Linked DNA regions of Callithrix jacchus. The protein of the gene in region 2 purifies or fractionates together with the protein of the main gene of each other region. This does not show direct contact. Links are inferred from orthologs where the notes say so. Each region holds a gene or a part of one and is shown on either strand. Other genes may lie near its edges. The genes, in order: MNAT1 and GTF2H4.

Evidence for each region.
Region 1: the proteins of GTF2H4 (region 2) and MNAT1 purify together in Homo sapiens (co-immunoprecipitation; 3 studies listed by BioGRID and IntAct, with this or other methods). This does not show direct contact. The link is inferred for Callithrix jacchus from reciprocal best matches to the Homo sapiens genes GTF2H4 and MNAT1.

The regions. Positions count from the first base shown.
Region 1 is NC_133509.1:95,467,605-95,471,516, forward strand, and holds the start of MNAT1 (CDK-activating kinase assembly factor MAT1), read left to right. Parts: upstream 1-1,465; 5' UTR 1,466-1,559; coding exon 1,560-1,648; intron 1,649-3,912.
Region 2 is NC_133505.1:35,701,997-35,705,908, reverse strand, and holds the start of GTF2H4 (general transcription factor IIH subunit 4), read right to left. Parts: upstream 2,518-3,912; 5' UTR 2,328-2,517; coding exon 2,316-2,327; exon of another isoform or gene 2,178-2,315; intron 1,708-2,177; coding exon 1,568-1,707; intron 1,309-1,567; coding exon 1,204-1,308; intron 821-1,203; coding exon 689-820; intron 91-688; coding exon 1-90. UniProt on the Homo sapiens protein: Component of the general transcription and DNA repair factor IIH (TFIIH) core complex, which is involved in general and transcription-coupled nucleotide excision repair (NER) of damaged DNA and, when complexed to CAK, in RNA transcription by RNA polymerase II.

The DNA.
Region 1 (3,912 bases), on a different chromosome or scaffold from region 2:
AACCAAAACTGTCCTAGTGACAATAAACTATAATGCCATCTGAGTGGATGACCTCAATGTAGTATTGGCTAAAAATTTTATTTGCACATATAACATATTCATTCTATCACTAGAAGTTTCCTGTTCTGTTAAAATATAAAGTCCCTAGAGTTGCCTTTGTTCTTGAAGAGCTTCACTCTGAATCATGTAACTGATTTGGATGTCGTCTTTCAATAAGACAATAGCAGCAGCGTCATAAGCCTCCAGGTCAAGCATAGTAGCATAGTATTTGGTGTTACCTATTTTAGTAAATTTATGTTTGGTTAATTCCTGTTGAGGAATGAAACTATGACCAAAGAGATGATATAGTTTATTAGATGAATCCCTGATGTCTTCATACTAATGTAAAGCTCTGTCACAGCCTGCTTTGGTCTGCTGGTTCCTGGGTGTGGTATCCAGCTGTTTGTCAGCTTCTCCCTCCATATTCCATGGAAATCCCAACTGTATTTTTGGGTTTTGGGTTGCCTACTGAGTTCACTGTTTAAAAACGTGAGTTGGAATGTTCCTTTTATGTTTTTATTGAAAAGAACCCAAGTTCTATGATGAATTAAAATTACTTAAATGTTTATAGCTCATATTCATTGTATCAGATTATTTGAAAAATCTTGTCTGCATGTTCCCCTTCTGATGGAGTTTGGGTCAGACGAAGGTGGTTACAAAAAATGTTTGACACTAAAAATGTTCACATTACACTATTGTTTGATAGTCATTCACTAATTCTTCATTTAGTCTACTTGTACATTAAGTATCAACAAATCTTTATTTTGGAGATGAATAAGATGTGTCCTTTGCAGTGGGAAAGTTCATTATTTAATAGAGCTGTTCACAGACTTCAATTGGCCTTCTTGATAAATGTGATGAACATGGTTTACAATTTACAAAGATATTCAGGCTCTCAGATCTTGGAATTGCTGAACTAAATTTTTGTGTATGTATTCTTATATTATTTTTTTCCTAGGTATTCAGGGAAATAAACACTGTCTAATGGAGAAGCTAGGTTTTTCAAATTTTGTATCTGTGAATGCATATTATTAGCTGAGCTTACATGACTATGAATTATAAAGAAGTATAAAGCACAGGCTATCAAATGGTCCAAAAGAAAATACTGAATTATCAAGTATTTACATCGCTTATAAATCTTTGAAATCATGGAAATGTTTTCAGGCAGAACAAGATGGAATTTATCTTCTTAATTGTTACACAGTACCTTGAAGAATGCAAATTGGTGCGTAGAGATAAGGCTTGGTGTATAATTTGCCATTTTAAAAGTTTCCCTTTCAAGTTCAAGGTATTAAGCTTCTTTATGGAAGGCTGAGACCAAGCCCTAGCTGCAAGACCAGGGAACTGACTGCCGGAACGTTTGTGTTGCAGCGCCTTGCCCCTTGCCGGTGCTCTTTCGTGAAGGGACCATCTCTGCCAAGCGCCTGTTGGTAGAAACTTGCTTGGTCGAATCTGTGGGGGCTTGTAGGTGGCTGTGGCTGAAGCAGGCGCCAAGGAGAGTCGGTAGCAGGGAAAGCGCCATGGACGATCAGGGCTGCCCTCGGTGTAAGACCACCAAATATCGGAACCCCTCCTTGAAGCTGATGGTGAATGTGTGCGGACACACTCTGTGAGTTGGGCGGCAGTGGATTCCCTGGGGGAGAGACGCGTAGGATAGGAGAGGGCCTGGAGATGCTAGGCCTCGTCTGGGTGGGAGCAAAGGGTGTTGTTAGTTTCAACACTGTGGAAGAAAATGGAAAAAGGAGGGGTTGTGACTTGAAATGGACTGTAGCCTCTATCCCCGAGCCGCTCTGGCCTGCTTTGAACTGAGGGTTCTCGGTGTGGCACCCAGCAGTTTGTCAGGTTCTCCCTCCGTAGCCAATGAGTATCCCGACTGTATTCCCAGGCTTTGTTTTGTCTACTGGGCTCCAAACATCGCTGATTAAAAGTGTGGGGGATTGGAGTGTTTATTTCATATGAAATGTTTTTATTGAAAAAGTGCGAAAGTGCCACGAAAACTTAAAATTTGCTTGAGTAGATACTGCTGCTATTTATTGTATGAGTTAATTAAAAAACTCTGTATGTATATCCACTTGTCCTGATGGAGTTCGGTTAGACTCTCATCACTAAAATGAAGAAAACCCGGACTCCAGGCAGTTAATTATGAAGATATAACAATGGCTGGCATTTGAGTGCACATTTTGTGCTAGGCAATGTTCTAAGCGTCTTACCATGCATTATCTCGCTTCATTCCTACAACAATCCCATGAAGTAGGTACTGGTATTTCCATTTCACAGGGAAGGAAATCAAGACTGCTCAAGGTCCTTTATTAAGTGGGCCTTAAGAGAATTGGAACCAGGAAGTCTGACTAGAAAGCCCATTTTCAGGGGAAGGGGGTAGAAGGAGGGAGGTTGAGTTTGTGTGTTTTGAAATAAGGATTGGTCAAAGTGTTTCTTGCCAGATTTCTTGTCCAATGCGGTTTAGTGAAGGTGGTTGTAGAAACCAATTTGGGATAAAAGGTGCCATATAGTGGTGAGCACATATTCCTGTAGTTTCTCTGAGGTTTATTGGAAGTAAGAAATAATGGATAATCTACAGTGTGGTAGACAAGGTCTCCCCCCAAACCCCAAGTGCTGACAAAAATGTAGAGCAATTACAGGGTCTTTAGGTAAGCATAAATTGCATAATTAGCTGTAGTTATAATTATTATATGGGATTTATTAGCTTACTTAATTGATTCCCTTTTCTAATTCATCTTTAGTTTCCTTGTTTTACTCTGCAAAGGAAGTATAGTAGAGCTGTGATTGAATGGTTTAAGATTAGAAGTAAGGTAAAAGTAATCCAGAATGCATAGAAAAGGGAATTCTGGCTGGGCGCGGTGGCTCACGCCTGTAATCCCAGCACTTTGGGAGGCTGAGGCGGGTGGATCATGAGGTCAAGAGATGGAGACCATCCTGGTCAACATGGTGAAACCCCGTCTCTACTAAAAATACAAAAAATTAGCTGGGCACGGTGGTGTGTGCCAGTAATCCCAGCTACTCAGGAGGCTGAGGCAGAATTTCCTGAACCCAGGAGGCGGAGGTTGCAGTGAGCCGAGATTGCACCATTGCACTCCAGCCTGGGGAACAAGAGTGAAACTCCGTCTCAAAAAAAAAAAAAAAAAAAGGGAATTCTACATGGAAAACACTGTAGATAGACTGTTTTGAGAGAGATTTCCTTCAAATTCTCTCCATTTTTCTTTATCAGGTTTGTTACAGTGGAACAAGAAAGGGAGTTTGTTTTTTTGGGAAGGATACTAAATGTAATTTACCAGAAGGAGGCTAAATGTAATGTTCTGGCCTAGCAGAAATTAGCCAGTCAGGGAAGAGCATACGATTTCAGTAACATAAATGGCATTTTAATTAGGCAATTATAAAATATTTATTTTAATTGAAATTGCTTTTGTTGTATAGTCAGCCCTTTTTGTTAAGGTCTAACAGTTAAGACTTTTATTGATTCTGGTGTTGAATTTAATCTGGTTAATTTGCTAACCTGTTAGATACAGGCCACATTTTACGGTCCTTTTTTGACTTGAAATGTTAACAAAATGAGTAAAAGGCTGTCGCATGTTGGCTAAGAGAACAAGCTTTGGAATCAGTCTATCTGATTTCACATTCTTCCCTCTTACGGGCTCTGTGGCCTTAGGCAAATGACTAACTCTTTTTTGGTCATTCTTCTTGTCTGTACAGTAGAGAAAATAGCGCTGCCTGTATCATGGTCCTTAAGTATTAAGTAATATATGTAAAATATTTAGAAATATTTAGTAGAGTTTCTGTCACGTATTTGTTTATTGTATATTGGCTATTTTATTGTTAATATTATTTGTGTGTGGCATGGGTGATAGCAGAAATAAA
Region 2 (3,912 bases):
CGCTCTTCAGCGTACTTGTCAAGGGAGGGAACATCCCGGGCATGCTTGTCTGGTCCCAGCTGACTTGTGTCATCAGACCAGGCCTTCCCCCTAGAGCCAGGATGGGCCAAGAGTAAGGACCTCTGACCAGGCACGGTGGCTCACACCTGTAATCCATGTACTTTGGGAGGCCGAGGAGGCAGATCACTGAGGTCAGGAGTTCGAGACCAGCCTGGCCAACATGGTGAAGCCCCATCTCTACTAAAAATACAAAAAATTAGCCAGGCATGGTGGTGGGTGCCTGTAATCCCAGCTACTCAGGAGGCTGAGGCAGGAGAATATCTTGAACCCAGAAGGTGGAGATTGCAGTGAGCCAAGATTGTGACACTGCACTCCAGCCTGGGTGACAGAGCAAGACTCTATCTCAAAAAGAAACAAAACAAAACAAAAAAAGAGTAAGGAACTCTGTCTGTGTTCCTTGCTGTCCTTCTGCCATCTTTCCACCCTTATCCTCAGGGGCCATGACTGGGGGACATTGCCTACACAACACAGCTACATCTGGTCCAACTTATTCCTAAAGGAGCTCCCCAAGGTAGAGACCACAAGGTTCCAGGGAGGCCCCCATAAGCTCCCCCTCCCAAAGTTTAATAGCAGTTTAATTAGCAGCAGTTTCCCTTCCCTAGCTTAGGAAGAGATAGAAGTGACATACCCACCCAGAAGGGCAATGCGGAGGTTCTGACGGAAAATGGGGTTGAGGATAAGGCCCTGGAGCCCGCCTGGGAGCAGCTGGGTGTGCCAGATCCGGAGGCCACTCAGCAGCCCTGTACTTTCCTCCTGAGCCCTGGAATAGAAGCAAAGAGATGAGAGGGGGTGTCTGGAGAACAAAGAGAAGGCCCATAAAAGTTACCATTCCTGCCTGTTCTGAACTTGCTGATCTTTGAACTACTGTTTCACAGAGTGAAATCAGTATCTTAAGACAAATGCCTTTACTGCATTACCTATCAGAGCCTCATTGCTGATAACACACATAACTAAGAGGGAAGATACATTTGAAAACAAGAAGTCAGCTGGGAAATAAATAAAAGGGAAAACGCAGTATGCAGCATTTCCTAAATGTATTTATTTTTAAATTTTGTGATCTATTAATATTTCCTGGAAGTGCTCCAAGAAACAGCAGTTTGGGAAATGTTGCTGTTGAGAAATCTGTATCTGGCTGAGACTTACTTGCTGAATTCCTTCTTCACCCACAGGGCTACAGCAGCTTGTGGCAAAGGCTGCTCCAGAAAGAGCATCCGCATCACCCAGTTCTTAGCCAAGGATGGGAGCTCCCTGTATAGGGATAGAGGTCAAAGGTTAATTTCAGAAGCTGCACTGTATCTGCATCTCTGCCCTCAATTACCTCTCAAACATCTCATCTCACTCCACCACAGCTTTACCAGTCCTGCTATTTTGGCCTTCCACACTTTGGAGCAATTTTCAACCCTCACCCCCAGTCCCCACCCCCAATCCAGACTGCTATGCTTTTACTCATGATATTTATTTCCAATCTGCAGACCCCATTACATTTCCTTGCCATGGGGCTCCTCACCTGAAGACAGCCAGACAAGTGGCAGGGTGCCCATACAATCGGTCCAATACCCCAGGGCTCAGGCCCCCTAAGAATTCTTGTAAATTCCTGCATTGTAGGTGTACTCGGTTCAGTCCCCTTGAAGGGGTGCTCTCCATCACCTGAGGAATGCAAACGTCAGAGGCACACCCCCACCATCCATGCCAGTGTCACCCCTGACCTTTCTAACTCTGATTCCAGATCCATGAGCCCCCACAATAATCCCACCTTTTCTGTGGCTTACTTTCCCCTGTCACTTATCTCTAGTTTCTTCCAAATCTGACCAATCTCTCTCCGTTTCTGGTCTCCTCACCCTACTTCTGCCCTTCAACTCCAGTCTTCCCTCAATTACCAAGTGACAGACTTGCTAACTGTCCTATGTTTGCAAGATAATTTTGTATTCAATGACTTGTCTCATCTTTGGCTAAACAGGGACAAAGAAAATTGAGCCCACACCTCTCTCTTCCATCTCTCCTGGTCCAGATCAGTCAATAAGCTCCAAATCTGCCCGTCCTCCCTATCGTCTATCTCTTAGCCCACTTCTGCTATGACGATAACCTCTCCCCTTCACGCTTCCCAAATCTGAAGTCACCTCTTTTCCCTTCCCATTCACGCTGACCCACGCCTTCCGATCTCCTAGATTCTCCCTGCCTTCCTCCCACACCTCGCCTCTCACTCACCTCTCTCTCTCTCACAGCTATGCCACTCCCACCCTCCTAGGTCCCCTCACCACTCTGTCCATCCTCCTCGTGCACCCCGAGTCTCGGGCAGTCGCTTAATCGGAGCCAAAGTCTCTCATTGGCTCCCGGAGATTGAGGGAAAGATGGTTAAAAAAAAAAATGCCAGGGAAAGATGGGGAAAGCGACAAAAGATTTCACAGACAAGAGCCTAGAATGGAGAATTCAGAAGAGAAGGGAGGTAAGGGAAGGAGTGGAAGAGTGAAGAGGATGAGAATAGGCGCTGCACTCTCCCGGCGCGGGGTATGCTGGGAATTGGAGTCTTGTCTTTGCTCTCCTTGGAGCCGGCTGAAGCGCGTCTGACTACAAATCCCGAAAGGCACCGTTGGGAAGCCAAAAGGAGAGGAGCTGGCTTTTAATTTAGAGAGCGGGAGATACCAGAAGTCAGGCCAGTTGGTTCCGCGAAGGCAGAAGCAACTCCGCCCACGCTGCTAACGGCGCGTCTAACCGGCCTGAACAGGAGGCGGGTCCGGGGAAAATAGAAGTTCCTGGAGGGCTTCTTGGCGGAGGCGCGCCATGGCGACTTAGTGGTGAGCCGTTTAGGGGGTAGGGGCCACAAAACTGGATTCCGTGAGCACAATTACTCCCCGTAAAATTGAGATAATACACACTCCGGGACGGGCGCGGTGACTCACGCCTGTAATCCCAGCACTTTGGGAGGCCGAGACAGGCAAATCACCCGAGGTCAGGAGTTCGAGACCAGCCTTTACAACATTGTGAAAGTCTGTCTTTACTAAAAATACAAAAATTAGCCGGGTGTGGTGGCGGGCGCCTTTAATCCCAGCTACTCAGGAAGCTGAGGCAGGAGAATCGCTTGAACCTTAGAGGCGGAGGTTGCAGTGAGCCGAAATCGTGCCATTACACTCCAGTCTGGGCGACAAAAGCTAAAGTCAAAAAAAAAGAAGAAAGAAAGAAAGAAAAGAAAGAAAGAAAGAAAGAGAAAGAAAGAAAAAGAAAGAAAGAAAGAAAGAGAAAGAGAAGAAAGTATACACATTCTGGACGGTTTCCACAAGTTAACAACACCATCCAGTGCGCCTTACTTGGCCCTAAATACTCAATAATTCTTAATTTCTGCCTCTACCATGCCTAAAACCGTTTTCTTAGAAGACCCTGATAAATACAGTTTTTAAGACATCAGCTGTTTGCTCTGATTTGATTTATGAACCTGCTACAGAGAAAGACAGAGGTCTTCACCCAAAGCCAGAACTACACATTTCCCCAAATTTCTATAAGCAAATTCCATTATTCCCACTTTATAGACTGGAAGACCGGAGCCTGGCAAGATTAAGAATTGGCCTGCAGCCTGGTGAGGTGGCTCAGAGTCATGACTACTCAGCTACTCGGGAGGCTGAGGCGGGAGGATCACCTGAGACTAGGAGCTGGAGGCTACAGTGAGCTATGATTGCGCCAGCCTAGGCGACAGGGTGAGACCCCCATCTTTCTCTCACTCTCTCTCTCTCTCTCTGAAAAGGAGTCTCTCACTCTGTTGCCCAGGCTGGAATGCAGTGGCACAATCTGGGCTCAATGCAACCTCGGCCTCCAGGGTTCAAGCTATTCTCCTGCCTCAGCCTCCTGAGTAGCTGGGACTAC